2 linked regions of the Stegostoma tigrinum genome follow. The protein of the gene in region 2 interacts with the protein of the main gene of each other region in a pairwise test. Links are inferred from orthologs where the notes say so. Each region holds a gene or a part of one and is shown on either strand. Other genes may lie near its edges.

Evidence for each region.
Region 1: the proteins of iqub (region 2) and tmcc2 interact in a two-hybrid assay, tested with the Homo sapiens proteins (2 studies listed by BioGRID and IntAct). The two-hybrid records come from large-scale screens. The link is inferred for Stegostoma tigrinum from reciprocal best matches to the Homo sapiens genes IQUB and TMCC2.

What each region holds. Positions count from the first base shown.
Region 1 is NC_081374.1:8,078,565-8,094,318, forward strand, and holds the start of tmcc2 (transmembrane and coiled-coil domains protein 2), read right to left. Parts: upstream 7,986-15,754; 5' UTR 7,730-7,985; coding exon 7,718-7,729; coding exon of another isoform or gene 7,697-7,717; intron 7,583-7,696; coding exon 7,430-7,582; intron 1-7,429.
Region 2 is NC_081371.1:14,577,303-14,593,019, reverse strand, and holds the start of iqub (IQ and ubiquitin-like domain-containing protein), read right to left. Parts: upstream 5,687-15,717; 5' UTR 5,566-5,686; intron 1,124-5,565; 5' UTR 1,120-1,123; coding exon 936-1,119; intron 1-935. Other genes in the region: ndufa5 (NADH dehydrogenase [ubiquinone] 1 alpha subcomplex subunit 5), read right to left, coding at 9,114-9,215, 12,215-12,280, 13,154-13,270, 15,561-15,605. UniProt on the Homo sapiens protein: Adapter protein that anchors the radial spoke 1 (RS1) complex to the A microtubule of outer doublet microtubules in axonemes. The triple radial spokes (RS1, RS2 and RS3) are required to modulate beating of the sperm flagellum.

The sequences.
Region 1 (15,754 bases), on a different chromosome or scaffold from region 2:
TTCCGAATGTAGTGATTTTTTTTGTATTAGCCAATTCATACATCGAGTATAAAAAGCGGTGACTATCCGCTGTTCGGGGAGAATTGTTTATTAAACTGAGCGCTCTGTGCCGGGTTGAGTACAGCGATCCTCCACAGCTTGTACTTGCTAAATAATAAAGGCTTTTATTTTTGTAGCTAGATCAGTGTCTTGCTCTTACATCAAGTCAGCGAAGGTCTCCGAAAGCCACCCTGACACCTCCATTATGCTGGTCACCTTGTTCCATATTCTCACCTCTCTTCCAAAAGCCTCTCTGTGCCACCTTCTGAAGAACAATAATAAATATTCATTGGGATATCTTCACTGCTCGCACCAAAAAGATCCTTATCCTTGACTTCAACCTCCAATCACAAATTATCAGCTCTCCCTCCTCACTCATGACCCTCTTATCCTAAGATTTCTCCCTCTGTATGAACTCACCAACCAATATTCACCCAACCCTCTGGATCTTGCAACCTCGCTTCATCATGCTAGTTCTTTCATGTCAATTTCAGACAACATTCATTCTGGTCACTTTCATATGTTAATCACCATACCCCTTATGCATCAAACTCTTCCGTATCTATCAGTGGGAATTATGAACACCCAATTCACTTACACAGTAGCACTGATCTCCAATCCCTCAAGTGCAAGGAAAACTGACTTGATAGGAAATGGCCAAAAAAATGGTTTAGACTGCTGGAACTGGTCAGACCACAGGGGCCCTTGCTACTCATAGGATATGTTTCATCAAAATATGACCAATAGTGAAAGAATGAAAATGGGGATTTACTTTCCATAAGAATTAAATTAATTTTCGGCATCACACCAAAATAACGATTTACGTACGAAACAGCTGAATGCGTAACAAAAATTGATGGCTAATTAAATAGCAAGGTATACACAAAACAAGGAATACCAGAGCAAAGAATGATGTGGACTCACTGTACAGGTTTGGAACTCTCTTCCACAAATGGCAGTGGTTGCTGGATCACTTATTAATAAAAATTCATCTATCTCAGTAAAAGGTACTGAGGGATACAGGCAATTAAATGGAGTGAGGCTACAGATCAGCCGTGATCTCACTGAATGGCGGAACAGGGCTGAATGACCTACTCACATTCCGAAGTAACGGAACAGATTTTATCTAAGTCACAAATTTCATTCTGTCAGAGTATGAAAAAGGAAAACTTTCAGGAGCCTGAAGAGACGTTTCATCACAGTCTCCTCCACCAACACCTCTCCAATGGTAGTCCACTGAATGAGAATGATCTCACCTGGTTCCATTCTTAATCTAAGATAACCACCTGCAACGTGTTTCTTTACTTGCTCCCACACAGTTACATCTGGGAACCGATCCTTAGCCCTCCCTCTGCAGTTATACTGTCCAAAAGCACAGCACCAATTTATACGTGTAAGTGACAACACAGAGCTCTGCCTCATCATGGACTATATTAAGTCAATTATAGTTCCCAAATTATCAGTCTGTTTATTCAATGAAAAGTACTAGATAAGCATAAATTTCCTCCAATAAAACATTACAAAAACTGAAGAGAGAAAATGGGAACTGCCGATGCTGGAGAATCCAAGATAACAAAGTGTGAAGCTGACGTTTCGGGCCTAGACCCTTCATCAGAGAGCTACAGGCCCAAAACGTCAGCTTTTGTGCTCCTGAGATGCTGCTTGGCCTGCTGTGTTCATCCAGCTTCACACTTGGTTATCACAAAAACTGAAGTCTTGTTTTCAGCTCCCGCCCCCAACTTGGTTACCTGGCGAAAATCTGAGATTAAGTTGGAGTGTCCACAATCTACATGTCACATTTGATTCAAAGATTGCTTATAGGTTTCCGAACCCCTCTCATATCATTGAATCCGACACTTCCACCTGTGTAATATCGCTTGCCTTTGATCCTATTCGAGTTCATCCTCTCATTTCTGTCTTTGTTACCTCTGCACTCAACAATTCCAATGGATTCCTGGCTAGTCTCCCACATTCTATCTTATGTAAACTGGAGCTCACGTGAAACTGTGCTGCCCATGTCTTAATACCCAGCCAGTCCCCCTCATCACTGACCATAATATCTCCCCACCCAAGCAATATCCATCATCTTGATTTTTAAAGCCATGCCCTCATTTCCAAATCCCTCCATAGTTTCATCACTATCTCTAAATGTCCTCCAACTACACAAGCCCTCAAGAAAGCTGCATTCCTCAAATTCTGGCCTCGTAGTCACTCCCAATTACAACTGCTCCACCACATGGTCATTCGATCAGCTGCCCAGATATCAAAGCTCCAGTAGACTCTCTACACTTTTGGCTACTCTACCCCACTTTCCTTCTTTAAAATATTCCTTATATCATACTTGTATGACCAAGCTGCCTCACAGGTATCAGTGACCTGAGTTTGATTTCAGCTTGGGTGATTGTGTGGAGTTTGCATGTTCTCCCCATGTCTATGTCGGTTTCTGCCAGGTACTCCAGTTTCTTTCTGCAGTCCAAATATGCGCAAATTAGGTGGATCTACCATGACAAATTGCCCCATTGTATCATAGAAAGTGCATGCTAGATGTATATCTGCGGTTACAGGGATGAGGTGGGGAACTAGGTCTGGGTAGGACGATCTTCAGAGGTTTGGTGCAAGTTCAAGGGCCAAGCAGCCTATTCCTGCACTGTAGGGGTTCTATGACAGTATATGTTTTTATAATCCTGCTATGAATCACAGTGGGTCATTTCATAACAAAATGTTCTACATAAGTAAAATTTGTGTCATTGAAATGCCAAATTCCAAATGTCAGGTTTGCTGTCATTGCAAATGTACAAGTGTTTTCTGAGAGATTCTGCAATGAAACCAAAGTAACCAATTTTCTTTTAGAATCCCTACAGTGTGGAAACAGGCCCATCAGCCCAACAAGTCCACAGTGACATTCAGAACAATCCACCAGGACCCATTCCCCTATAACCAACCTCATCTACACATCCCTGAACACTGTGGGCAATTAAGCATGGCCAATCCACCCGATCTGCACATCTTTGGACTGTGGAAGGAAACCGGAGCACACGGAGAAAACCAATGCAGACACAGGGTGAATGTGCAAACTCCACACAGATAGTCGCCTCAGGGTGAAATTGAACCCAGGTCCCCTGGCGCGGAGAGGCAGCAGGGCTAACCACTGAGCCACCAAAACCTATTTATTATCTCTGAATCATTTGGCTGTATGTCTATGCTCACCCAAAAGTAAAATGTTATGTCAGATTTTACTCCATTAGATTTTGACTGAAAAGCAAGAGAGACTGCACGCAATGGTACCAAACATTAATTACGAACATACCAAAGCTGAACATTCAAGCTATGGTTTTAGTCCAGAACCAGTAGACACAGTAACCTGGATGTCCAAGGTACTTCTTAAACCAGACAGTAGAAGTCAGACCCATAAACCTTTTTTTCCCTGCAGAAAACATGCAAGTCAGCCAATCTGATCATTTTGCATGATTCAAGACTATGAGCACAACAGACAATGTCTTGACCCAATTCCTACCTAGATTGAAGACCAAGCATCTATAGCTAAAAGAAACATAACTGTAGATGCAGAAAGCCTGAAAAACAGAAACTGCTGGAGAAACTCAGTAGGCCTGGCAGCATATGTGGAGAGAAAGCGGAGTGAATGTTCAGGTCCAGGTCCAGCGACCCTCCTTCAGACAGACTCTGCTGAAAGGTCAGAATCCCCAGAACTGACTCTGCCCTCTCTTCACAGGTGCTGCCAGAACTGCTGAGTTTCTCCAGCAATTTCTGTTTTACTGAAGCATTTGTAACCATTTGCAATGATCGCCATGGTATTTGTAAAAACCAACAGAATTGTGGATGCTGTAAATCAGGAACAAAAACAAAGTTACTGGAAAAGCCCAGCAGGTCTGGCAGCACCAGCACCAGAGAAAATAGAGTCAAAGTTTCAGGTCCAATGACCCTTCCTCTGAGGGTTACCAAACCTGAAAACACTGGGACACATGTTCTGCAGCCCACAAGGACAGGGACTATTATGAGCTCACACATGAATTGGCCATAGTAAATTAAAATTAGCCAAATGTGGCAAAGCAGTTTCCACTGTATTTATTGTATATACTTTTACTTATATTTGTTTAATTTACACTTATTTTATTTACTTGAGCTGTCAATTTTGCTCCAATGCTTTGTTTTTCATCTTCCCCTCCCCTTGCGAAAGAACAATCTCATGGTTACATTCTGTTCTTCACATAGCAGTACTTAGTACAAGAAATCATTCGTCACAAACAAGCAGTGACAATAAGTTCAACAATATATTCCAATGCTCACTGGATGGTAAGGAGGTGCAGGGTTTCAGACTGATTGCCCTCCATCCCATGTTCCAAATATGTGGGACAATAAGGTTAAATACACAAATTAACTGGTCTCCTGACTCAGATTAAATAAATCAGCAGATTGGGAAATCACACCTGTGCCTCTCTAAATTATATTTTCTAGCACCATAAAGGCCAAACTACTGAAGCAGGTTAACAGAAAACATATCGCCCACATTTTTTTCCTCCTCTTTTCCACTTTATCAAAAGCCCAGAAGTGACTTCAATATCCTCTCAAACTCTGGAGGGCAGTTACGTTTCTGTCACACCTGGCAATGTGCCTTCATTCACCAGGTCATGATGAAAACTACCAGTAATTTTAATTTCTCAGAGGAGAAGATGCAGCTTCAGGTATTTTCTTTCCATTTAAGCTTGAAGTATCTTGACATCATGGTCAGAAAACAATTACAGAGAAGACAGGAACAAGCAAAATTCTTCTCAAATTATGGATCAGTTCAACTAAGGAGGGAGAAACAAGGGTGCACCATAAAATGAGGCTAAACACCATATAAATTCACAAATGGTACTCATTTAAATAGCAATCACTTCTTTTAAGTGTGTGTGCAAGAATGTGTTTGACAGAAAAATCTTGGCGCATAATTTATTTAGGAAAATCCTGAAATTCTTATCTACATTAACAGGTCTCAACTAAGTGGAGATGAAACCTAGAAATACTGCACTGAATGCCAGAGAAGGCTCAAAAAGCCATATGATCCACTTCTGCTCCGATCTTGTGTGTAAAAGGGAGTGTCAGACTGAAATATTTCAGGAGAGGAAGAATTGTCATTCTTGGGCCTCAACATAAATGACTGGCATCAAATTGCCACCTGTGCTTCATTTTGTTTTAAACAAAATTAGCAGATATAGAACATGACCAGTGTGAACAAGGCTTTTTAAGTCAACCACACTCAACCTCCTTCAAAGTAAGAATTGTCCTCAAATAAAACACTAAGCATTGAAACAATCCCACTGTTACATAATGGCAGACGAGTAGAGGATTATTTGTGTCATGGTGTTAGGATGAAGGATCAGAACCCTGACGTATTTAAGGATGTATTCAACTTGTAATTGCAACATGTATTTCTCAAAGAATGGACATGTAGCCAAAAAATAAATCAGTAGATATAATTCCAGCAGCTGTTTGGAAGAGAGTCCTGGAATATCACATTTAAAGGTACCTATCTGGGACTGTATTAATTTAGGAAACACTGCCTAGAAATTGATCATATTAATGATGCAAGAAATGCTGATGCACACACTACAAAACTTTTAATTTAAAATTGAAAATGAGTGAAGCACGGGGTGGGAGCAAAATGTAGGAGGAAGAGGAAGACAGACAGAATGCAAAAAAACAGGGCCTTGAATCAGCTCTCTAAGCCATCGTCACAAACAGATAAAATGTACAGCACATAGAAACTATGGTAGATGACATGCGAGAAAAACAATGGAAAAGCCACTAAACAGACTTCAAATTGTTATTCTGAGTAAAGTTACCCCATGCATGACAAATATGAATTTGCACGAGAAAGGAATTAGAATGACTACTTAGAATTAGTTCATTAGTATTATTACTATTATAGTGGCATCTAAGAGTTTAGTTTTATTTTCCTTCCAGGTATAGCTGAGGTTTGGAACACAGCAATACAACACTGGTATCTATTATTCATAGTAAACTAAAAACATTGTTCAAAATGATAGTGATGTAGTAGAAACGAATAGCCCAAGTTATTAATCTTCCTTCCCCATTGAAATAAGAGCATTCTGTTCAATGTCATATGCTGAACTAAGCTCTATTTATAACAATTCACCACAATGAAAGCACAAGGGGGGGCAATAATGACTGCAGTGAATGACCATTGGTGAATAACAAAACAATAATGGATTTGAGAGATTCAGACACTATCAAAAAATCGTATAATTGAAACATGTCCAATTTACTTTCACAATTCAAAGACTGGATTCGAGTTCTAAGTTCTTTGTCAATCACTCATTCCACTTAAAAAGTGAATCAGTTATACTTTTATTAAACAAAAATTACGGAAGGTGACTGGATTTATTTGAATTGCAACTTTAATCTTCAGAAATCTATTTCTTGTGCCATGATTCTTAATTAAATAGCTGACTTGAATTATTATTCCTTTTGTATAATCTAAAGCAGCAAGTCTCTGCAGGCTTCTTGACTGTGCTGGATTGGTTGAAGACGATGTTGTAGTGAACTGATCTACCCACACCCACTATCCAACAGGATTTACTGGATAGTTATGAAGATAGGGTTGATTTTCCACTCTGCTGGAACAGAGGCGGTGGCCATCTGCCCCACCCAGACAGATTATAGCCCAGCTGAAATGAAGAAACAGCACAGATCACCAGAGTCACTTTGGCTCAAAGGACACCACTTTGGGCAGCATGCATGATTGAAATTTAATTTGAACACTTAAATATGCACAAACTGTATCTTTTGCAGGACTTTTCAGCTGTGATCCCAGTTGTTTACATTATCAGGAATAACAATTCCTCAGTGCCCAATTACTCAACCTTATATTTCCATTGCAAAAATGCAGATTAAAAACATAGCTAATTATTTAAACCATAAAAATCACTAATAAAGAGTCATTCAGTAGTTTTCAAACCACCTCTCAGCACAATATGAGGTTAGCAAAGACTTACTCAGAGGCGGGGTTAAATCTGAAACCAGACGAAACACACCCTTGATTCTTCTTTACCTTAAATCTAATTGTCTTAGTCATCAGCCCCTTAATCACTTTTGTGTCAGTTGGGATAAAACAAGCCAAAGGTAGTGAGCAATAACATCAGGTAAGACAAAGCATCCCGCACAATTAAAAGTTTGAAAGCAACCTGCTTTTGCATAGCACCTTGGCAGACAGCAAGATACCCAAAGGTGCATTTTAGGAGATGCAGCAGGCAAAAATTTGGAGCTACACGAGGGCAAAAGGCAGAAAGCCCAAAAGAAGAGGTAGGATTTTCACCAGCCTATGTTATTATTATGAGTAAAGAAGGAAGAGCTTATTTATTCGCTGTACCTTCAAGTCTTGAGCTCTGTTGTTGCGGGATGGACAGGCAGCATCTGCTGGCGTAGCATCACCCTGCTGCTTGAGCGCTGTATCAGCACCAACTCCCAGCTTCGACCCCTGCTCCTCATCCAGGGGCAGTTCGTCAGACTTGCACCGCTTCATCTGCAAAATAAAAGGGAGGTGGTGGTGGGCTAAAAGTGGGATCTTGCTGTATTCAGCTAGTAAAGCTCCTACAGAAACGAGAATCAAAAGAGAAAACCCTGAATTAAACATTACCAGTGACTTAAAAAAACGTACTCGCCCATCCATTTCAATCTTCCATCCCAATTACAAGATGAAATTAAGACTTTCGGGAAAATTTTCATGGCGACACCGCCTTTCGATTTCCAGCAGGAAAATTACCTCGGCGGCTCAAATGCACAACAGTTTCCCTCATGAATTTACAAATCCAGCGGATTTAAGTAAACGCCGATAGAAATTTACATCTTTTTTTAACCGCCATCACCAAAGCCCCTTCGACGCACCACCGTCTGACTGAGAGGAACAGCCATGTCCGCGGGCTGAAGCGGGGGCGGGACTAAAGGAAACCCCGCCCCCTTCGTGTCGCCAACCAAACCTGCCGCCTACCGGAAGTGTCTGCCGATGACGATTGACACGCTCGCTACCCAATCGGAATCGGGAGATGTGTGAGTAGGTGTGGGTGGGGCTTGTGGGACCACATTCAAGGTAGGTTGCAGCTCCGTAGGATTTTTTTTCTCATTGCCTTACCCTCCCACTCGTATGGATGGAGAGGGAGGAACTTGCCTCTTCGCTGGAGCACATCTGCACTACAAAGGCATGTAATACTGTACAGCATATAGTAACAATAGCTTGCATTAATGTGGCTCACAGAGAGCTTACAGGAGTATGATGTCCCAAATTTTGGTCTTTGGGCCTGATAAGGCCGCGTCTGGGGTAGCTGGACCAACACCTTGGCCAGTGACAATTGGATGATAATTTTCCTTTTCAGATAATAGTTTCACGGGGAGAAGGTGGAGGAATGACAGTAGGTGCATTACTCATTCAGAGAGCTGGCACAGTCACGATGAGCTGAATGAGCTCTTACAATTCCGTGAATTCTGTAAATGGGGGAGGTGAGGTGTTGGTTGAGAAGCTTTGCGATGAGAGGTTGTAGCAAGGAATTTCAGAGCCGGGAACCCAGGCAAATTAAGTCACTGTCTCTGAGCTGGGGTGGAGTGATCTAAATTGGAGACACACAAAAAGCCACAACACATACATATTACCTATCAGATGGGAATCAAGGGATGTGTTCCGCCTCTCTACCACTTGGTAAATATCTATTTACCAATGTACTTAAATATACTTAACAGATTTTCAGAAGTTTTTAAAGACAGGATATGAAGGAAATGCTGGCCTTTATTTGAAATGTAATGTCGTATAAAAATAGAGAAGTCTTGCTAACCTATACAAGGCATTCGTCAGACCATAGTTGGAATACTGTAAACAGTTTTGGCCTCTTTATCTAAGGAGGGATATACGTGGCATTGGAGGCAGTGTAGAGAACATTCACCAAGTTGATCCCAGGTATGGACAGATTTTCTTATGAGATCAGATTGAGTAGCTAGGATTGAATTCATTGGAGTTTAGAAGAATGAAAAGCAATGTTATTGAAACATATCAGTATTCTTAGGGGACTTGACTGGAGAGATTTTGTTCTAATGGGAGAGTATAGAACCAGAGGATATTTTAAGCGCAGTCGCTTGTGCTGTGGCAAAATGCAGTCCTGACTTTGAAAACAGGCCCCACCAACAGCAACGAGATCAATTGCTATTAAGCTATTTTAAGAGACTTGTTGATTAAAGTTTAATAATTGATCACTCCTCATTAAATAGTACCAGAGGAACTTTTACGTTCAGTCACAGTGAGGTACAGATAGGAATACTGCTGAAAAGAGAGGCTTGTTTTTCTTATACTCTTGAGGAAAACTCAAGAATATCAAATTTGAAACAATCACAATGTAAGTCTTGTACCTTTTCTGAATTCCCAAAGAGAATGGGGACCTATCCATTTTGTTTTCTGCATGTTAACATCAAAGACAACTTGTCAACCAATCAGCACCCACTTCTCCAACGGCATAAATTCTGGAGTTCATTTGAAATTTGGCATTCTTGTGTTTATCCTGAAGACAAAGGCTTTGACAATACATGTCTCTTTTCAGCAATATTCAAGTACTGTACTATGAACTACTCATAGAATTGTTAGAGCACAGAAGGAGGCCATTTCAGGGCATTCATGATCCCAGTCACTCACTTTTGAAAAAAGATTTCTTTTTGTGCCTGTTATGGTTCTCTGCCAATCATCAAGTTGTTGCTTCTGATTGTTGACTTTCTGCTAATGTGAACAGTTCCTCACTGTTTACTCTGTCTAGATACCTCATACATTTGAACATCTCCTCATCTCCAAAGATGACAACCTCAGCTTCTACAATTATCTATGTAATTTAAGTCCCTTGTACCTGATCTATTCTTAAAAATCTTCTGTGCATCTTTTATAATACCACCACAAATTTTTTAAAGTGTGCTGTCCAAGACTGGACACAATACTCCGTTAAAGGTCAAACCAATGTTTCATGTAGTTTTATCACAACAGCTGTGTTTTTATACTTCTTGTCCTCATTTATAAATCCTAGAATATTGTATGCTTTATTAACCATTTTTTCAACCTGCTATTGTCAGCTTTAATGGTCTCTGAACATACATCCCCATGCCCCTCTGTGGCCTGCACATCCTATAGAATGGTATGCTTTATTTTATGAAGTCTTTCCCCATCCTTCGAAATCAAAGCATTTCATACTTCTCTGTATCAAATCTCATTCTGTTTCTGTTACTCCCATAAGTCTGTCTATGATCTCCTGAATTTTACCACTATTCTCACATAACACAATAATTACATCGTTTGTAACATCTGCAGATTTTGAGGTGGTGTCCTATGCACAGCAGCCGTGCCAGCAACATGCATCAAAAGAGCAACAGAACTGATAACAATCTCTGGCAAACGTAACTAAAATGTTTCCTCCATTCCAAAAGAAAGAATCATCCACAAGTACTCTGTTACCTGTACCTCAGCCAATTTTATATCCAAGATATTACTGTCACATTTGTCTCCTTACCTCTAGCTTTGCTAAAAGGTTTGATATGTGGAACCAGATGCCCTTTGGAAGTCCAAGCACACTACAGTGATTTCATTGTTCTCATTGCTCTCTGTGCTATCTCACCAAAAAAACTTAAATATGGTATTCCCTCTATAAGTCTATGCTGGTTTTCCTGAATTAATCAAGATATGTTAAAACATTCAAGGCGTGGGCCTGGTGCTGAAAAGTGGGGCTAGTTAGATTCAGTGTAGCTTTGGCGGTACAGACTTGATAGACCATAGGCCCTCTTTTGTATTGTATGATTCTATTAACTTGAATACTATTGAACAAACATATTGCTGAAGATCTTTGTCTTGTGTCTATCCAAGTGATTGTTAATGTTGTCCCAAATTATTGTTTCTCAAAGCTTTTACAAAACCAAGGTTAAATAAACTGATTATACAATTACTGGGTTTATCCTTGTGTCTTTTTTTGAAGAAGAGTGTAACATTTGAAATTCTCCAGTTCAGTGCTGACACCACCTCTGTGTCTAATGAGGATTCAAAGACATGGTCAGTGCCTGTCCAATTTCCTTACTTCCCTCATCCAGACAGGCAATCTAATATCCTCTCCTTATAAAATTTTAGTCTCTCAAGCTTCCAACGACTGTCTCCTCAATCATGGCTTCACCAGCACCTTCTGGGGTGCATGGGGTGGCACAGTGGTTCAGTGATTAGCACTGCTGCCTCACAGTGCCAGAAACCCTGGCTCGATTCCATCCTTGGGTAACTGTCTGTGTGGAGTTTGTGCATTCTCCCCATGTTTGCATGGGTTTTCTCCATTCTCTCCTGTTTCCTCCAAAGATGTACAGGTTAGGTAGATTGGCCATTGGAAAAACAGAGCTACAGGGACAGAATGGATACTGTTCAGAGCATTGGTGTGGACTTGATGAGCCAAATGGTCTGCTTCCACACAGTAGAGATTCTATGACTCCACGATTCTTTCTTGGTTAAGACAAATGTGAAGTTCTTAAATTATACTTTAGCCATGCCTACTGCCTGACTGTTAAATCCTTCTTAGCACTCCTGCAGAATCCAGTTCTCCTTTGAAACTCATTTACTATTTACAGTATAGTTTTGGATTTCTGTGTACAAAGAAGCCTATTTTTAAGGCCTATTTATTTCGACATCTAAATTTATGCAGTTGACCACAAAAAGATGAAGAAGGCAACTTAAATCACAATTTTAAAAAGGCATTTGACAAACATATTTATGATGTGAAAATAGAACATGTATATAATAGTTTAAGTATAACACGATAAGCAATTAAAATGGGTAGCATGCGAAATCTGCAGATGGGTGGAATGAATATTGATTGGTTGTTGTCACAGGCATGGTGTCATTACGGGTGAGAAAACCCAGAGTAGATTTATTTGAATTGTCCCTGAGGATGAAATCAATTAATCTTGTGTATAGCCACAGAGACTATTAAAGTAACTTTTCAAATTGAATGCTTTAAGTAAGAATAAATTAATATTATGAAATAGTGATGTTACACTAGTTGGTTCGTGTCCCTGACTATTGTTTTTCTCCTTAGTATTTTGTGTACTTCAATGTGTGTGTGTGTGTGTGTGTGTGTGTGTGTGTGTGTATCCTATTCCCTACTTCTCTCTTCTGCTGAAGGCATGAATCCAAATCAAAGTCAGCAGGTTATCCAGCCGAAAAACCAATTTCACATATGCCAGTGTAATGCAGAGTTCTGACAGTTATTCAACTGGCAGGGTGAACTAGACAAAGGGCAGGAGATTAATGATGAATTTAAACGAGAGCCTGAAATCTTGACATAAACAGCCTGAAGCTTCATTGTCTTTTCATTTTTTTACCTTAACCTGAGAGGTTTTAGAAAGATATTTAATTTTATGTTCTTAGGATATGGCTAATGCATGTTTATTTCCTACAGCAAGTATCCCTAAGACAGCTACTTAGTATGAGATTGAAATGACATGTAAGCCAAATCAGATACGACAGACAACTTCCCTATTCTAAGGGACATTAATTTCCTTTTCCTGAGGAATATTAGTAATCCAGCCAGATCTTTACAACTATTCCAACCAATTTAATGTGAATTTTCTTTCATAATGTACGCTGGGAATTGAACTCACAAAATGTGGTTTGCTTGTCTAATTAAAAAAAACTCCAACTACTGCACGAGAACAGGAAGTCAGAGTAAACATGGCCAATGAAAAGAGACAGGGATTTGTATAAAATCCTTCACATCCTCAGGGCATGTCAAGACACTTCGCAGCCAATGACTTTTTTTGAAGTGTAGTTACCATTATAATGTAGGAAACAAGATAGCAAATTTGGTCAGAGAAGGGTCCTGCAAACATAAGTGTGATGATGAGCAGAATCTGTTTTCTTTCAAAAACAAAACAACCCAAAACATTAACTATGATTTTTCTCCACAGATGCTGCCAGATCTGCTCAGCTTTTCCAGCTATTTCTGTTTTTGTTTCTGAGTTACAGCATAAACGCTTCTTTCACTCTCCATTTTTGTTGTTGATATCAGTTGAGGGATAATTATTAGTCAGGGCACTGGCTAAAATGTCCCTATTCTTCTTTGAATACAATGAGATCGTTACCATGATGCCATAATCTCTCGGGCAATGTGCTCTCGCTAAATCAACAACCTTCCCTTAAAGAGGGGCCTTTGTAACCAGCAAAGACCAATATATTGTTCTATTGTCAAATTCATGGGACATTATGAAAACATATTGTTTTTCATCATTAAATGATGTAAAGGATAGCACTAGGAAAGATCACCAACTTCAACAATCAACTTTTGTTTCTCTCCCCACAAATGCTGCCTGACGTGCTGGGGGTTGTCAACATTTTCATTTTTGATTTTAGATTTCCAGCATCCACAGCATTTTGCCTTCCATGGAACGCTGGTTATTCAGAAACTTGTAGTGCAGGAAGAGGCCAATTGGGCCATTGTGGCTGTATATTTATAGTAATACTCACAACAATGGCACAACAATTCTGGGGTCAGGGATCAAATTCAGTTCAGACTGAATGGAAAGAAAGCATCTCATATTTTGGATCCCATGTGATTGGTTTGGGAAATTGCTCCTGTGGAGTCTACAACCTAAAATAACAAATAGAGAGAGCAAAAGTAAACAGGAAGCAGAGCAATAATCTGTTTATTAAAAGAATGGGAAGCGTGTTGAATAGATTACTGGCATGAATGGTGGCACAACAAGAAGTTCCAATTCATAAAATGTCCATAACATTGGGAAACATTTCTATAAATAATTAATGGTACTGCTTTGACACCAAGACACACAACAACATATTAGGATAGATAATCCATTGTTTCATCCAAGATGTAAATTTCAAAAAGCACTGTCAATGTGAAGAGAAAGAGACAGAGATTACTAAACAGGGAATTAAGCATAGGGTCTGGGCAACTGAAGGTAAGACAGTCAATGGCAGAATAAAAGAACTGAGGTTATGCAAGAGTCTGAAATTGGAAGAACGCAGAATACACAGAAATATAGTGTGGAGCACGTTTCAGAGATGGAGAGAAGCCAGCACATGAAGAACTGTGAAAAAACAGTTATGATAATTTAAAATCCAGTGGTCGATTATTCACCTGTGGTAGCAGAGTTTTCATTTTTCTTTGTGAAGTGTTGAGATGGGCATGTTAAATGGCTCCAAGCAATGCCATCCCTAGTGCTGAAATAAGTCACCTGTTTGCATGCTAATCAATTCGATAACAGCCAAGAGGTGATCATTGCTGAGTTTCTAGCATGATGCTGGCCTTGACACTTGTCAGAGATGCTACTCAAACACATGCAAGTAGTTTCTGCATTACAAAAGTTGCAAGTCATGGCGTACCCTGTAGGGTATGAGGGGTGAGAAGGTAAGTACTCTTTTCAACTCTTCTGATGGGATGGTTATGGATAATTTGGGTCAGAAAATAGCTTTCAAAGTAGAGAGTAGCTTTCAAAAGCCATCCCATTGTCCCTAATCTGTATCTCTGATTACCCCAGATTGGGGCAAATGAGGGTCACAGTCCCCAATCCAGGAACAGCTCATTTGTGACTGTGGAGGTAGCAAAGTTAAGGCCTCTCAGTGGCTATCAGGCATCGATTAAGATTTTTAGTTGGTGGTGAATCAAAAACTAGCTCATGGTCCATCTCGTACAGCACTTTCTGGATGAGGTACCAAGAAGGAAGCTGCGTCATGTATCTTTCTAGGGCCAATTCACCCAATTATTTCTCCTCATCACCTCTGCGACACCTCCAGGGAAGGGAAAATTCCATACGAGGTGTTGCCTAATCAAGAGCCAACGTAGCAGGGCGGGAACACAGGGATGATGGATCCATGTGAATTGCCACAAGTGGAACGACAGACAGCAGAACATTGAATGTTTCAAGAAGGAATTAGAAAGGCTTATCAACAAAAGGAACATGTGAAATGTTAGAGATAAGTGACCTAACAAGGATGAACGTCTTCTCCTGCCTAGAGCTGTTTTGAAACTGATCTTTTACTAAACTAGAAATTGGCAATCAGAAAGAACATACGCAGGAAATGGAACAAAAATACAATAAAAGGTGCTGTACTGGTCAGAATGAACACCTATTGTTCAGAGAGCAGTACAGCATAAAAGGAAGCCATTGGCGTACCAATAATGTCTGTATTTATGCCATTTCCAAAGAATGTAGTTTCTTCACTAGGCTTCTCTACTTTTTAAAAATTTAATCAAAAAGGCAATTAATAGCTACCCCCTTAATCAAGTTGTTAGTCTCCCATTCTGATATTTGATTTTTGTAGCAAAACTAACTCTATCGTTGCTTGGTCTCAATTTTCCTTGAGAACACTCTTTTTAAGAGCCTTCGGATGTAGTCAAGCATTTTTACTTCAATGGGATGTTTTAAGGCACAGCTTCTAAAGCCAGTTTACCATGCCAAAGAACATCTGTCATGGGACATTACTTTCTCTGTGGCTCCTTGATTTGTGGATCAATATTTAATTGGATTTGTTGAGTTTTTAAAACTCAGCAAAAAAAATACTGAGCAGGGGTGTTTAATAATTTATTGCAGTTTCCTTTCCTTGAAATCAGATCCTCAACGTTGGTGTTTGGTTTAGTCTAAAGATTATTTCCCTTCTGTTTCTGAAAATGAGCTGAAGTGTCTGGTG
Region 2 (15,717 bases):
GACCCTTCATCAGAGAGGGGGATGGGGAGAGGGTTCTGGAATAAACAGGGAGAGAGGAGGAGGCGGACCGGAGATGGAGAGAAAAGAAGATAGGTGGAGAGGAGAGTATAGGTGAGGAGGTAGGGAGGGGATAGGTCAGTCCAGGGAAGACGGACAGGTCAAGGAGGTGGGATGAGGTGGTAGGTAGGAAATGGAGGTGCAGCTTGGGGTGGGAGGAAGGGATGGGTGAGAGGAAGAACAGGTTAGGGAAGCGGAGACAGGCTGGGCTGGTTTTGGGATGCAATGGGGGGAGGGGACGAGCTGGGCTGGTTTTGTGATGCAGTGGGGGGAGGGAAAGAACTGGGCTGGTTTTGGGATGCGGTGGTGGAAGGGGAGATTTTGAAGCTTGTGAAGTCCACATTGATACCATTGGGCTGCAGGGTTCCCAAGCGGAATATGAGTTGCTGTTCTTGCAACCTTCGGGTGGCATCATTGTGGCACTGCAGGAGGCCCATGATGGACATGTCGTCTGAGGAATGGGAGGGGGAGTTAAAATGGTTCGCGACTGGGAGGTGCAGTCGTTTGCTGTGAACCGAGCGGAGGTGTTCTGCAAAGCAGTCCCTAAACCTCCGCTTGGTTACGGTATAGATGGGTAAGTAAACATAATGTGGTAGATATTTATTTCCAATTGCAGTAGCATTGTGAAGGAGGAAAAACATAGGATCATTAAGAAAAAAAAAGCAAAAAGTCTGTACTTTGCCTGATGTAGAAATAAAAGAAGTGAAGTAGTGCATTTGGTCCCGACAAGCTTGTTAGCTGTGGAAGATTTAGCCTTTTAATCCCCTTTTCTAATCTGGTTCTCATTTTACAAGTATATATCTCATTTTTAAAGACTTCAATTGATTCTGCACAGCAAGAACATAAGTTTATTATCCCAATTCAAAATGCGATTTTACCTGACGGTAACTCAACAACATATTCTCTGGATTTTGTATCATCTAATCCATCTGCAGGCTCTTCAGAGCGGCCTTCATCTAACACTTCATGTATTTCTATGGCATGTTCGTAAGTGTGCTCATCTTGCTCAAATGTAACGTTTTGTTCTTCAGCTTCCTGGTTATGGTCTTCATTTTCTGCCATTTTTCTGCACAAAACAGAAAGGCATTTTTTATAATACTGAGTTCAGCCTAATTTTTTTTAAAATTAATTTCATGATATGGGTCCATAAAATTTGAAAGAACTGCAAATGCTGTAAATGTGGAACAAAAACAGAAGTTGCTGGAAAAGCTCAGCAGGTCTGACAGCATCTGTGAAGAGAAAATTAGAGTTAACTAATGAGAGTCAACTTCTAATTAGTGTTAACTTCTGAGGAAGGGTCACCAGAGCCGCAATGTTAACTCTAATTTTCTCTTCACAGATGCTGCCAGACCTGACAAGCTTTTCCAGCAACTTCTGTTTTTGCTCCTCATGATATGGGTCCTTCAATTTACTCATTCTTAGTTCCTTTGAGAAAGTGTGGGAGCTACTTTCTGAAACTATTGTAGTCCATATGAGGCATATACTTCACAGCGTTTTGAGGAATGAAGTTCCAGAACTGCGATCCAGTAGTTGTGAAGGAAAAGCATGATATTTCCAAATCAGGATGACATGTGACTCATAGCTGAACCTACAGGTAATGGTTTTCCATGTGCCTTTTGTCTTTGTTTTTTCAAATGATAGAGTTTGCAGGTTTGGAATTTCCTGTTGAAGAAGTTTTGCTGAGTTACTGAACTGCAGTTCGTAGATAGTTCACACTACAGCCACAGTCCACCAGAGGTGAAGGGTGTGAATTTTTAGGTTGGTGGATAGGGTGTGATGCATTGAAATGTTTGAGGGTTTTCTGGGAAAATACACTCATTCAGGCATGATAAGAGTATTCTTCTTACTCCTGACTTGTCATGCTACAGAATAAACTTGTCAATTCATCTAATACCTTTAAATTGTAGGAAATAGGAATAAACAATCTAGACTTCTTTAAAGGGTCTATTTCTGGTATGATTCTTCTTCAATACATATTATGTATAATACAAAATGCAAATTGACTGTAAGAACTGTGGATGCTGTAAATCAGGAATAAAAACAAAGTTGCTGGAAAAGCTCAGCAGGTCTGGCAGCATCTGTGAAAGAAAAAAAGAGTTAATGTTTCGGGTCCGGCGACCATTTCTCAGAACTTCTTTGAAATTGTTTCATTAACGCTGTGAAATAAATGCTGGCCTGGCCAGTGACATGCTCAACCCATGAATGAATTAAAAAAGAAAGATAAAAGAATAAGAAAGTGATACTCTTCCCTTGCTTGGATGGCTGAGGATCCAAAAACATTCAAAAGACTTAGCACTATAAAAGACAAATCAGCCTACTGATTGGCACTCCATCTACCACATTCAATGTCCACTCGCTTCAGCACTGATGTTCAAAAGCAGCAATATGTACCATCCACAAGCAGAACTCATCAAATAGTTTCAAAACCTGTAGGCTCGACTGAGTAGAATGGCTAAAGCATAGGAACACCGCCACCAGCAATTTCCATGCCCCATCCTGACTTGAAGCCACTGGGTCAAAGTCCTGGAACACCCTTTTTAACAGCACTGTGGATGGCACAACATCCCAAGGAGTGCAAAGGTTCAATGAAGTAGCTCAGCACCGACTTTCGCCACCACATATAAGAATGGGTAATAAATCGTGACCTAGACAACACACCCCACATCTCATAAACTAATGTTTAAAAAGTCCCTTGTACTGTTATAGAGATTAGTAGGAACTGCAGAAGCTGAAGAATCTGAGATAACAAGGTGTAGAGCTGGATGAATACAGCAGGGCAAGCAGCATCAGAGGAGCAGGAAGGCTGACGTTTCGGGCCTAGACTCTTCTTCAGAAGTCAGGGAGGGGAAAGGGGTTCTGAAATAAATAGTGGGGGGGAGGCGGATAGAAGATGGATAGAAGAGAGGATACGTGAAGAGGATACAGACAGGGCAAAGAGGCGGGGATGGAGCCAGTAAAGGTGGGTGCAGATGGGCAGTTAGGGAGGAGATAGGTTAGCCCAGGCAGGGCGGACAGGTCAAAGGGGTGGGATGAAGCTAGTAGGTAGGAAAATTGGGTGGGGCTTGAGGTGGGAGGAGGGGGTAAGTGGGAGGAAGGGCAGGTTAGTGAGGCAGGGCTGGTTTTGGGATGCGGTAGGGGGAGGGGAGATTTTGAAGCTTGTGAAGTCCACATTGATACCATTGGGCTGCAGGGTTCCCAAGCCGAATGTGAGTTGCTGTTCCTGCAACCTTCGGGTGGCATTGTTGTGACACTGCAAGAGGCATGTCGTCTGAGGAATGGGAGGGGGAGTTGAAATGGTTCACGAATGGGAGGTGCAGTTGTTTAGTGTAAACCCAATGTAGGTGTTCTGCAAAGCGGTCCCCAGGCCTCCACTTGGTTTCCCTGATGTAGAGGAGGTCACAAAGGGAGCAGCGGATGCAGCATACCACATTAGCAGATGTGCAGGTGAACATCTACTTGACGTGAAAAGTCTTCTTGGGGCCTGGAATGGGGGTGAGGGGGTAGGTGCAGGTGTAGTACTTCCTGCGGTTGCAGGGAAAAGTGTCGGGTGATGTGGGGCTGGAGGGGAATGTGGAGCAGATAGAGGAGTCACAGAGAGAGTGGTCCCTCCGGAAAGCAGATACGGGTGGGGTGTGAAAAATATCTTTGGTAGTGGGGTCGGATTGCAGATGATGGAAGTGTTGGAGAATGATGTGTTGGATCCGGAGGTTGGTAGGGTGGTATGAGGACGAGGGGGATTCTGTTTTGGCTGTTATTGCGGGCAGGATGTGAGGGATGAGTTGCGGGAAATGTGGAAGACATGGTCGAGGGCATTCTCAACCACTGAGTGGGGGGGGGAAGTTGCAGTCCTTGAAAACCCTGCAGCTCAATGGTATCAATGTGGACTTCACAAGCTTCAAGATCTCCCTTCCCCTGACCGCATCCCACAACCAGCCCAGCCCGTCTCTGCCTCCCTAACCTGCCCTTCCTCCCACTTAACCGCTCCTCCCACCTCAAGCCCCACCCCCATCTCCTACATACCAACCTCATCCTGCCCTCTTGACCTGTCCGTCCTCCCTGGGCTGACCTATCTCCTCCCTAACTCCCCACCTACACTCACCTTTACTGGCTCCGTCCTCAGCTCTTTGACCCGTCTGTATCCTCTACACCTATCTTCTCCTACATCCATCTTCGATCCACCTCCCTCCTCTCCCTATTGATTTCAGAAATCCCTTCTCCTCCCCCATGTATTTCAGAAACCCCTTCTCCTCCCCCATGTACTGCTATAGCGTTTTCTTCTCCAACCCCTTACAGATTTTGACTTCCTAAAGAAAGTTTGGTGGCCAGAATTGGATATGTACTTTACTGGGTCACTTAGTTACAATTTATAATGATTTACCTAATTTTCAGATGTATTCTATTCCACGGCCACACCTATAAAGTTGAACAACTACTATTTTTTAGTAATCTTCCCAATTCATCCTGCCATCTGAGATTTATGTATGCATACTCCTAATTTCCCCTTTGAAATTATGTTAATTTATATCACCTCGCCTAATTCTTCCTATAAAATAGCATCACTTCTCAATCTCCTGTGATGCATTGCCTATTCTCCGTGCTTCACCAGTTCACTGATCCATCTGTGGCCTGCTGAAGTTACTATTCTCCTCACTACTTCTCAGAGTTTCAGTAATTGGCACATTTTAAAAAATATGCCCTGTATACCAAAGTCCAGGCTATCAATAGATATTGAATAGTAATTGTTCTAATAATATGTGCTCAGGGACACAAGTGTATACATGCCTTCAGAGTGAAAAACAACTGATCACAACCACTCTCTGCTTTTGGACTCTGAGACCATTTCATACTTTATTCAACAGGAAGAAAAAAATTGGTTCAGTAAGAGAAAGACATAATGCTAGAATGGGATGTTTTATATCTTGGGATGCTTGTATGCAATGTGGTTGAATTCCAGAAGGCCCTAGACGTCTAATTTCAGAGTTCATTCGAAAGTGATGCCTCCAAAGGGAGACAGAGCTAACTTGAATATCTACGACTAGTTTGCTTTAACCTTGCTAATAGACATTAAGTTTTACAAATGTTTAATTAAATATAAAAGTGGGTCAAGAACTGAGTACGTTTCTTGATTCGTGAGGATCTCCGTCCCTGGTTGGGAATACTCCCGGGGGGTCCCCACCCCCCACCCCGCGGTCGCAGATACTCCCAGGAGAGTTTTCGTCCCGGGGTTCGCAGATACTCCCAGGAGGGACCCCCCTCCGCCCGGGGTTGAGGATACTCCCGGGGGGTCACCGCCTCGGAGGTTGAGGATACTCCCGGGGAGTCTTCACCCCAGGGTCACGGATACTCCCTGGTCGCAGATACACTCGGGGGGTCACCATCCCGGGGTCGCGGATACTCCCGGGGGGGGTCTCCAACCCGGTGTCGCGGACACTCCCGGGGGGGGGGGGGAAGGTCTCCTTCTGACTTGAGCGGATCTAACAGCGAGCAGAAAGTCGTCGGGAAGTAGACCTGAATCAGTCGTTGCGCCGTGTCGGGGTTGTGATTCTCCGGCTACGGCCTCCTGCCCTCTCCGCTCCAGTCCCGGGCCTCGGCCTGTTGACCGCGGAGTCATAGCAACCGCATCAGTCCCTGTGCGCCTGCGCTATACCGCCCCCCTCCTGCTCCCACCGTCCCCATTGTGAAGAGTCACGTGTCTACAGGCATGTGTACACAGGGAACTAACAAACACTAAGTAATTACTGGGGTCAGAGATAATGGGAACTGCAGATGCTGGAGAATTCCAAGATAATAAAATGTGAGGCTGGATGAACACAGCAGGCCAAGCAGCATCTCAGGAGCACAAAAGCTGACGTTTCGGGCCTAGACCCTAATTACTTCCTCGGCATTTTCACCAATCAATTTCATACCTATGACAGAAATGAACTTTAGACGCACATATTAGCGCAATGTTTATGTCTACAATCTGGCCTACCTGTAACTCTACACGACAGCACAAGTTTGACTGAGATAACAAGATGTAGAGCTGGATGAACACAACAGGCCAAAGCAGCATCAGAGGAGCAGGAAAGCTGACGTTTCAGGTCTAGACCCTTCTGATGAACTTCACAGTTCATTTGACAGTGATGTTTCCAAACGGAGACAGAACTAACTTGAATATCTGATGAAGGGTCTAAGCCCAAAACATCAGCTTTCCTGCTCCTAAAATGCTGCTTGGCTGTGTTAATCCAGCTCCACACCTTGTTATCTCGGATTCTCCAGCATCTGCCATTCCTATCATCTCTGATAGAAGTTTGACTGAACTACCCTTTGCAATAGCCCAGGTCTGCAATCAGTTCAAAGTCAATTAGGCAGGTTCTCAATATTGGGATTATGCTAATTGAAAGGGTGTTAAAATCCCCATTGCAAGGGAACTTTTAAACAACAACAGAAATTGGAATTTGGTAGCATCAAAAATCTGGTCATGTCACATTTCATTCATGACACATCCCAACAGAAAAGTTATAATTTTACTACTAAATCTCCATGGGGTATTCTAAAAGAGGTGTACAGAAAACTCATTATTTTCAAAGTACGCTGACTTACAAAAGCAAGACAGCTGCAAATTCAGACATAGTAACACTCACAATGATTCAACTTAGCAATTTCACAGCAGATTGTCATAGCGCAACAGAAGTAAAACGACTCATGAGCACTGCTTTCATAGTCAAACAGCCTTTGCAGAAGGTGGAGAATAGTAAGGATCAACCCTGAGCTAAGGGTGTTGAGGTGTAGTCAAGGGACTGGTCCAGTCCAAGATTTCCCAACACCATGTCCTTTTAGTTCTTTCCTCAGCGTATGCTCTGGGGCATATTTAAAGTTCCTACACAATTTAAAAAATGCTTAATTTGAATTCACCTGGCATTCGTTCAGTCACGAATGGTTTAAATAATGAAACTTTGCACTGTTGATAGCTAATTGAAGTCTCCAGTTTTTTCAGAAATCATTTAGGTACAATAGCCCAGGCTTCCTGACAATTCAACTGAACAAAAGAAGTGAACTATTGAATTACGCAGAGCAGAAATTCCCAGTTTCGACGCACTCATCGGTGCATATAGTAACTGAATGGTCTACTATTTGGTGGGTTAGTAGTATGGCTGCCACCATTGAATTTGAGCCAGGGTAAGTAAGGAAATCGTGCGACAATATATTTATTTCTGACCTACATAATTATTAGATACTTTGAGAGATTAGTCATGGCTCATTTCAACTCTAAGCTTCCCAGCCTGCCTTGATCCCTTGCAATTTGCCTACTAGTGCAACAGGTCCATGGCAAATGCCATAATCCTACACTCATCCCTGGAACACCTGGATAATAATACCCACATCAGGTTTTTACTTATTGACCACAGCTCCACCTTCAACACTGTAATCACAACAAAGCTAATCTGCAAATTCTGAGACCTAGGTCTCTGCTTCACCCTCTGCAACTGGATCCTCAACATCACAACCCACAAACTGCAGTCAGTGGCAACAGGCAACAGTACATCCTGTGTGACAATCCTCAACACTGGCACCCCACAAAGATGTGTCATTAACCCTTTTCTGTACCATCTGTATACTCATGACTGCATGGCCAAATCTCATCCAACGCCATCTACAAGTTTGCCGCTGGCACCGCCGTTGTAAGCCAGATATCAAACAATGATGAAACAGAATACAAAAAAGGTGTGCGCGTTTGGTGGCATGGTGCAACGATAAGAATCTTTCCCTAAGTGTCAGCAAAATTAAATAGTTGGCCATCGACTCAGGAATCAAGGAGGAGGGCACGCCCCCACCTACATAAATCGAGCAGAGGTAGAGATGGTTGACAGTGCCAAGTTCTTAGGAGTGATGACTACCAATGATCTGGCCTGGACAACCCATGTTGTTGTAACATTCAAGAAGGCACAACAATGCCTCTTTTTCCTCAGGAGGCCAAGGAAATTTGGTATGTCCATAAGGACTCTCACCAACTTTTACAGATACATCACAGAAAGCATTCTACCTAGATGTGTCACGGTTTGGTACAGCAACTGTTCTTCCCAGGACCCCAAGAAACTACAGGAAGTTGCCAACACAGCCCAATCCATCAGACAAGCCAACTACCCAACCATTTACTTCATCTATACTTCTCGATGCCTAAGAAAGGCAGCCAACATCACCAAAGACCCTTCCCACCCCGGTTATAATGTCTTCCAACCTCTTCCATCAGGCAGTAGATACAAAAGCTTAAACACATGTACCAACAGCTTCTTCACTGCCATTATTAAACTTCTGAATGGGCCTCCCAAATTTCAAATCCAGTGTTGATCTTGCTTTTTATGCACTTTCTTTGCAGCCATAACTTTGTAATCCGTGCTCTGTCCAATCACCCCATGATCTTTGCATGCTATGAGTTGCCTGTGCTGCATGCAAAATAAAACTTCTCTCTATACTTCAGTACATTTGACAATAATAAATCAAATCAAAGACTCTTAGCTGCCTTCTCAGCAATTAGGGTTGTACAATAACTGCTGGCATGGCCAAATGATGCCTTCATCCTGTGAATGAATAAGAAAAGGGTACCCAATTTCCCCCGAGGTCTGACAGCTGACAGTTAACTTCCAAGTGCACGTGACAACTGCCTAAGACAGGCTAACTCCTTAAATATGCTAATCAGGGGCCTAAGGCCCAATGGAAGAACAAGTTTTTTTTTTGATTTACACTTATTTTAATTTGCAGTCAGAGCGGGATTGCTCCTCCTTTTCGCACAACAATTCATCCCCTTCTTGTTGCTGCTCCCAATTTTCTAATACCCATGTCCAAGCCAACACAATATCCAATCCTGCAGACAGAATGCCATGGTGCAAGATGTGATTATTCTGCTACATACACAGGACTAAAAGCATGGATTAATACTTCACATGATATTGAGGCATGGCAAAAATTAAAATGAAACGAAGAATGTTTCACCAATTAATTTTAATATTGATAACGATTGAAACAAACAGAAGAGACAGTATAGTTTTCTGAATAAATCAACATAATTTACATAAAATTTAAACTGGCCATTTCCATTGGTTGTGAGGGGCTTCTTCTATTAATGGTTCCCAAGGTTTCCACTTAGCCATTTTGTATGCTAGAGAAAGCTCATTCTCAGCCTGTAATTAAAATATAAGTTAGCAACCAAGAGTATTTTAAGAATGTTTTAAACAACATTTTAGTTTTCAAGTTTATTTTAAAGTTGTAAATCAAATATAAATTAAGATTAACTCTGCCCAATCACTAATTTTAGTTCATTGCACCTTTAAAAAGAAAATCACAAATTTAGCAAGATATCAGGGACTATGAATAAAGTAATTGTTGAATATTTGAGGGTAACAACAACAGCCTAAATCATCGCACTAAGTCAGAGGTAATAAAGAAGCCATTTTGATTCGGATCTTCACCAAAAAAAGTAAATGATCTGCTACAGTCTGACTGTTTCCAAATGTTAAGTTCTTTATCTTAGTGAATTTACTTTTTTTCTTGAAACTTTTAATGTGTTGATCCCATAATATCTTGACACCAGTAATAAACCTGTTCAATGCAGTGAAGTTAGCAAAAAATTAGACGAATGGTTATAAACTAATAACATAAAATAACTATTCTGTATCTTCAACCTCCAACACGATAGTGCAACAAATGTTTTGTCTATTCTGAATGGGAGAGAATTGCACCACATACACAGACTATAAGTTTTGCTTAACCAAATGACTAATGCCTCCTGTCAACGATTTTGTAACATTACACACCACATCACTCAACTGAATATTTGGCCATCTATGTCATTTAAATATACCCATAATTGATTTTTTTCCTTCACAAATAAAGCAGCTTAATGTCTGCATTATCTTCAGCTTAAAAATGGCTTGAATTTCACTAGTGTCCCAAATGGAGGACCTCCTCATCATTCACTACTGTCCCACATATTTGAAAATCAAGTAATATACAAGGAGAGTCATTGGCTGTGATCTATTTGGATTTCCAGAAGGCCTTTGACAAGGGGCTGCATAGGAGGCTGCTAAATACACATGAGCCCATGGTTTTAGAGGTAAGTTACTGGCAATAGATGGAGGATTGGTTGACTGGCAGGCGGCAGCAAGTGGGGACAAAGGGTTCATTTTCAGGGTGGTAACTGGTGACAAGAGGAACTATTGCCAGAGTCCATGTTGGGACCACCACTACTCATGGTTTGCGTTAACGCTCTAGATGAACTCACCAACAGTTACTAAGTTTGCACATCTCATAGATAAAGATGAAGGGATTGGTAGTGTTGAGGAAGCAGGGAGGCTGCAGGCAGAGTTGGGCAGGCTAGAAGTGTGGGCAAATATGTGGTAGGTGGAATACAACGTGGAAGAGTGTGAAGGTTATGCACTTTGGTAGGAAGAATACAGACATAGACACTATTTTCTAAATAGGGAAATGATTCAGAAATATGAAGCATGAAAGGAATTGGGAGCCAAGTTCAGGACTCACTTAAGGATAACATGTAGGTTCAGTTGGCTGTTAGAAAGGCAAATACAATGTTAGCATTCATTTCAAGAAGGCTGTGCTGCTGAGACTGTATAAGGTTTTGGTCAGATTGCATTTGGAACATTGACAGCAGTCTTGGACCCCATATCTAAGGAAGGCTGTATCTGCATGTTTGGGATCCAAAGGAGTTTTTCTGAGGAAACCGCAACCAGAATGGATAGAGGAGAACCAATAGATGTTTTGTATTGGACTTCCAGAAGGCATTTGTCAATATACCTCACAAAAGATTGAGCCATAAGAGCCCATGGCATTGGAGTTTGTACATGAGCGTGGACAGAGAATTGGCTAATGTCAGGAAACAGTGAGTGGAGATAAAGGATTCTTTTTCAGTTTGCCTACCTGTGACCAGCAGGGTTCGATGGGCATCAGTGTTGGAACCATAACAGTTTACAATATATATTAATGACTTGGAGAAAGTGAATGTACTATAACCAAATTTGCAGATGACACAAAAACAAGTGGAAATGCAGGTTGAGAGGGGGATACAAACAGTTTATAGACTTATCGATAGGTTACATTAGTGGGCAAAAAGTTGGCAAATGAGTATAATCACATTGGAATGGAGAATAAACGAATAGAATATTATTTAAATGGAGAAAAACTTCATAAAGCTGCAACACAAAGATTTGGGGATACTTGTACATGAAACACAGAAAGCAAGTAGGTGCAGCAGGTAATCAGAATGGCTAGTGGAATGTTGGCTCTTATTTCAAGGAAGGTGGAGTTATAAGAATAGGGAAGTCTTACTGCAACTGTGCAAGATGCTGGAGAGACTACATCTGGAGTACTGAGACATGTTTTGGTCCCCCTATTTAAGGCAAGATATCATTTCATTGGTGGCAGTTCAGAGAAGGTTCACTTGAATTGTCCCCAGTATGGAGCCACTGTATCATGTGCAAGGCTAAACAGGTTGATACATTTTTCATTGGAGGAGTTTCAAACAATGAGAGCTGATCTCATTGAAACAAATAAGATTATTAAAAAGGCTTGACAGGTTAAACGCTGAGAGGATTTCTCCCCAGATGGGAGAGCCTAGGGCATGTGAATTTAGTCTCAGAATAAAGGGGTGCCAATTTAAGGTGGAGATGAATTTCTTCTCTCTGATGGTTGTGATGCTTTGGAACTCCTTGCCACAGAAAACTATGGCGGAAAGTCCTTACGTATGTGTAAGCCTGAGACAGATAGATTCTTAATCAGTATGGGAATCAAAGGTTTTGGGGCAAGGCAAAAAAAGTGGATGAGGAATGTCGCACCATCCATGATTCTACTGAATGGCACAGGAGGCTCAATGGGCCAAAATCTCGGGCGTGCCTTCATCTTGAGTTTAAGATGAGTAGCTTGTCATCAACATTACAGAATGTTTAATTACACAAACAAAAGAAAATGCTCCAGAGTCATGGCCAAATGTGTTTTTAAAAAAAAATCAAACACAAGATACAGAAAACAGTGATATTGAAAGATGGGGTTTCTTCCACTTTGAGGGGAAATTCCTAATATGATGGTTCCTGCTCGTAGTTGACAGTCTGCACTGAATATATTCTATTGAATTCTATATGGAGTCTGAAGAAGTGAGACCGTGGCATACCTGTGAAATTACTTCTTCGATCTGTCCACAGTTGATTTTGTCTTCTAGTTTTTGAACATCGCGCTCCTACAATACATAATACAGAACAGGTGGCTTGAAATGAATACCTGCGTACAGGGTGTCACTCCTCTGGAGTTCTTCACAGTGCTGTTGGGAAGTTCTAAGGCTTTGAACCAGTGACCGCATCTCCTAGGATTTGATGAATGTCAAAGGCCATTTGGTGAATTTCTGCTGGGCACCTTTGATCTGATACACAGTACTGTCTTTCTACTTTAGTAATGGTGGATGACACGTTTAGAGTAGTGTATAGGTTACCAATCAAACTGACTGCTTTCCCCTTGGTTGTATTAAATTTGTTGAATGTTGATGAAGCTGCACACATCCAGGAATGTGGACAATATAATATTACACTCCTGAGTTGTGCTTGGTAAATGGTGGACAGGTTCAGTGTTGTCAGATGGTGGGTTACTCTCTGCAGAATTCAATCTCTGAATAGCCCTCAGTCACAGAACTTATATGGTTAGTCCAGTTAAGTTTCTGACCATTAGTAACACACAGGACATTAGTGGTGAGACACCCAGTAACTGTCATGAATTCAATACCACAACAAAAAACATTACATTAATATCTTTAGCTCCGGTTTCAGTTATTTTATTAACCCCGATTTCTGCAATTGTCTGAAAGGCATGTATGATTCAGGTGTATTGTCCCAATAAACATTAGAAAATGCCTTTCATTTATTGCACACCTTTCATTACCCTTCATTATTTCAATATTAGAAGTAAATCATATTTACATAAAATCAGCTTTACAAAGTTCAAGACTTACAGAAGACTTTTACAGTACTTGAAGTGAGAAAATGCTAATATGAAATATCAATCTGACAAATAACACACCATCCATTGAAAACAAGTGATCAATTACATCAGGCTAGCTTACCGATTTTACCAAGTTAAGCCTTTCATTGATGATCTGCTCTGTGTATTTTCGATAGGCCACATCCTGAGGCAGAGATTGTAAAACGGTAAGAATTCTGGAGTACAGAATTCTCAAATTCTAAAAGTAAACAACACAAAACAAATTGGAAGCATTAACTCATTTAGGCCTATTTATCTTCTTTTAATCTCCTCAAACTATCTCTAGCAGGCAGGTCAGGCCTGTAAGCCTGTAGATAGGCCCCTACCCGTCCTGCCAGCTAGCAGCTCGTTCATCTTTATTTTCCTTTTGCCAAGGAACATAGGTGCTTTACCAGTTTGAAATCAGTAACATTTTAGGAGGCGCAAGTTTAAACTGGTGTCAGCAACATATTCTGTTTAGGTGGATAGGTTAGATAGGGAGGAAAAAACTAATAGCACAACAATAAAGTAAGAAAACACAGTCAGGTTAGATGGCAAGAAGTACTATTCTTACATAATTATCCATTCCCAAATAAGGAAGCATGAATTCACCACAACTGTTTCAAAAGGGAACTAGACAATTCCTAACAACCGAGAAGATCCCTAGTTGAGAAATATAAGTGTAGAGGTAGCTGCAATTATTCCTTACAGTTTGTTTTCTTGACTGAAAGTGTAGTTTGATAGTTTCTTTTACTAAATTGGCTACCAGTGTCTCTCCCTCTCTTTGGTGAATGTGAAAACTTGTGCATTTTAGACAAACTTTTAGACAATATACAATAGATGCAGGAGTAGGCCACTCGGCCCTTCATGCCAGCACCATCTTACCATCCTGACTCAGCACAATGTTATTTGTGCCATATCACACTACCCTCCAATCAACTTTAACCTTATGTATTTGAATTAAATCCTAGAAATTACCAGGTAAAGCAAACATGAAAGCACTCAAACAACTAATATATAACACAAGAACATAAAGGGAAATTCCTTCCAAGGAATCAACAGAAAATCAGTGCATACATTAACGTTACATATCATAAAAGCATTAGATTTAGCGACCATTTGGAAACTTTCCACTAATTATTGAAAAGTCAAAAAAAGTCCCAGATTCTGTGCCAAAATCTATGCTCTGTCTCCATGTTTTGCCCACAGATTGTCTGCAAATAAATGAATGTTAGATAAAAAGATTTTTTTAATGTCTTAATGTTAATTTGTTAAAAGTTTCTCCATCAGGTTTCTTTCAACCAGAGTTATTCTGAACAACAAGTCTAATCATAGAGATGTACAGCATGGAAACAGACCCTTCAATCTGACCATTTCATGCTGGCAAGATATCCAAAACAAATCCAATGCCAGCATTTGGCCCACATCCCTCCAAACCCTTCCTTTCCATATATCCATCCAAATGCCTCTTGAATGTTATAATCGTACGAGACTCCACCACTTCGTCTGGCAGTTCATTCCATAACACACAAGCCTGTGCACAAAAAAATTTGCCCGTTAGGTCCCTTTTAAGTTTTTCCCTTCTCATCTTAAACTTATGCCCTCTAGTTTTGGGCTCCCCTACCCTGGGGAAAAGACCTTGACTATTCACCCTATCCACACCCCTCATTATTTTATAAACCTCTAATAAAAGGTCACCTCTCAGCCTCTGACAACTCCAGGGAAAATAGTCCTAGTTTATTCAGGCATTCCCCATAGTTCAAACTCCCCAAACCTTGTCAGTTTTTACTGAACCCTTTCAGGTTTCACATCATCTTTTCTGTCAAAGGGAGTCCAGAATTGAACGTAGTATTCCAAAAGTGGCCTCAACAATGTCCGGTACAGATGCAACGTGACTTCCCAAGTTCTGTACCCAATGCACTGACCAATAAAGGCAAACGTACAACATGCCTTCACTACCGTGTCTACATGCAACTCTGCTTTCAAGGAACTATGAACCCACATTCCAAGGTTTCTTTGTTCAGCAATATTCCCTAGGACCTCACTATAAAGTGTACAAGTCCTGCCGTGATTGGCTCTACCCAAACATAGCACCTCGCATTTATCTAAATTAAAGTCTACTTGCCAGTCTTCAGTCCATCTGATTAAGATCCCATTGTACTCTGAGGTAACCATTTTTTGGCTGTCCATGACACCACCAATTTTGTTCTCATCTGCAAACTTACTAGCCATACCTCCTATATTCACATCCAGATTATTTATATAAACGACAATATAGAAGAAAGACTGGTTTCTGTCTCTTACCTAAAATATGGGATATACTAATCAAAAAGAAATTAATGTTTAGATTATAATCATATTTGTCATACTGGCACAGGCTTTACTGTAGGTAATTTCACAATAACAAGATATTATACCAGAGCACATCCTCAGTGGATATATTTTACAACTCACTGAATTGTATTTACTTATTTACAATTAACCAAAAATAACTGGAAAAAGTGAAATACCTCATGAGGATTCTGGGCCACAGCAAGACCCACTAACCCAGTGGTCTGCAAGAAAAAGAAAGAAACAAACAAACATGTTATCTTTCAAGGATACTTTGTCTCCTGCTATTTTCCTGACAGTCTTACTTTTTCTCTCAGACAACCTTCCTGAAGGGTA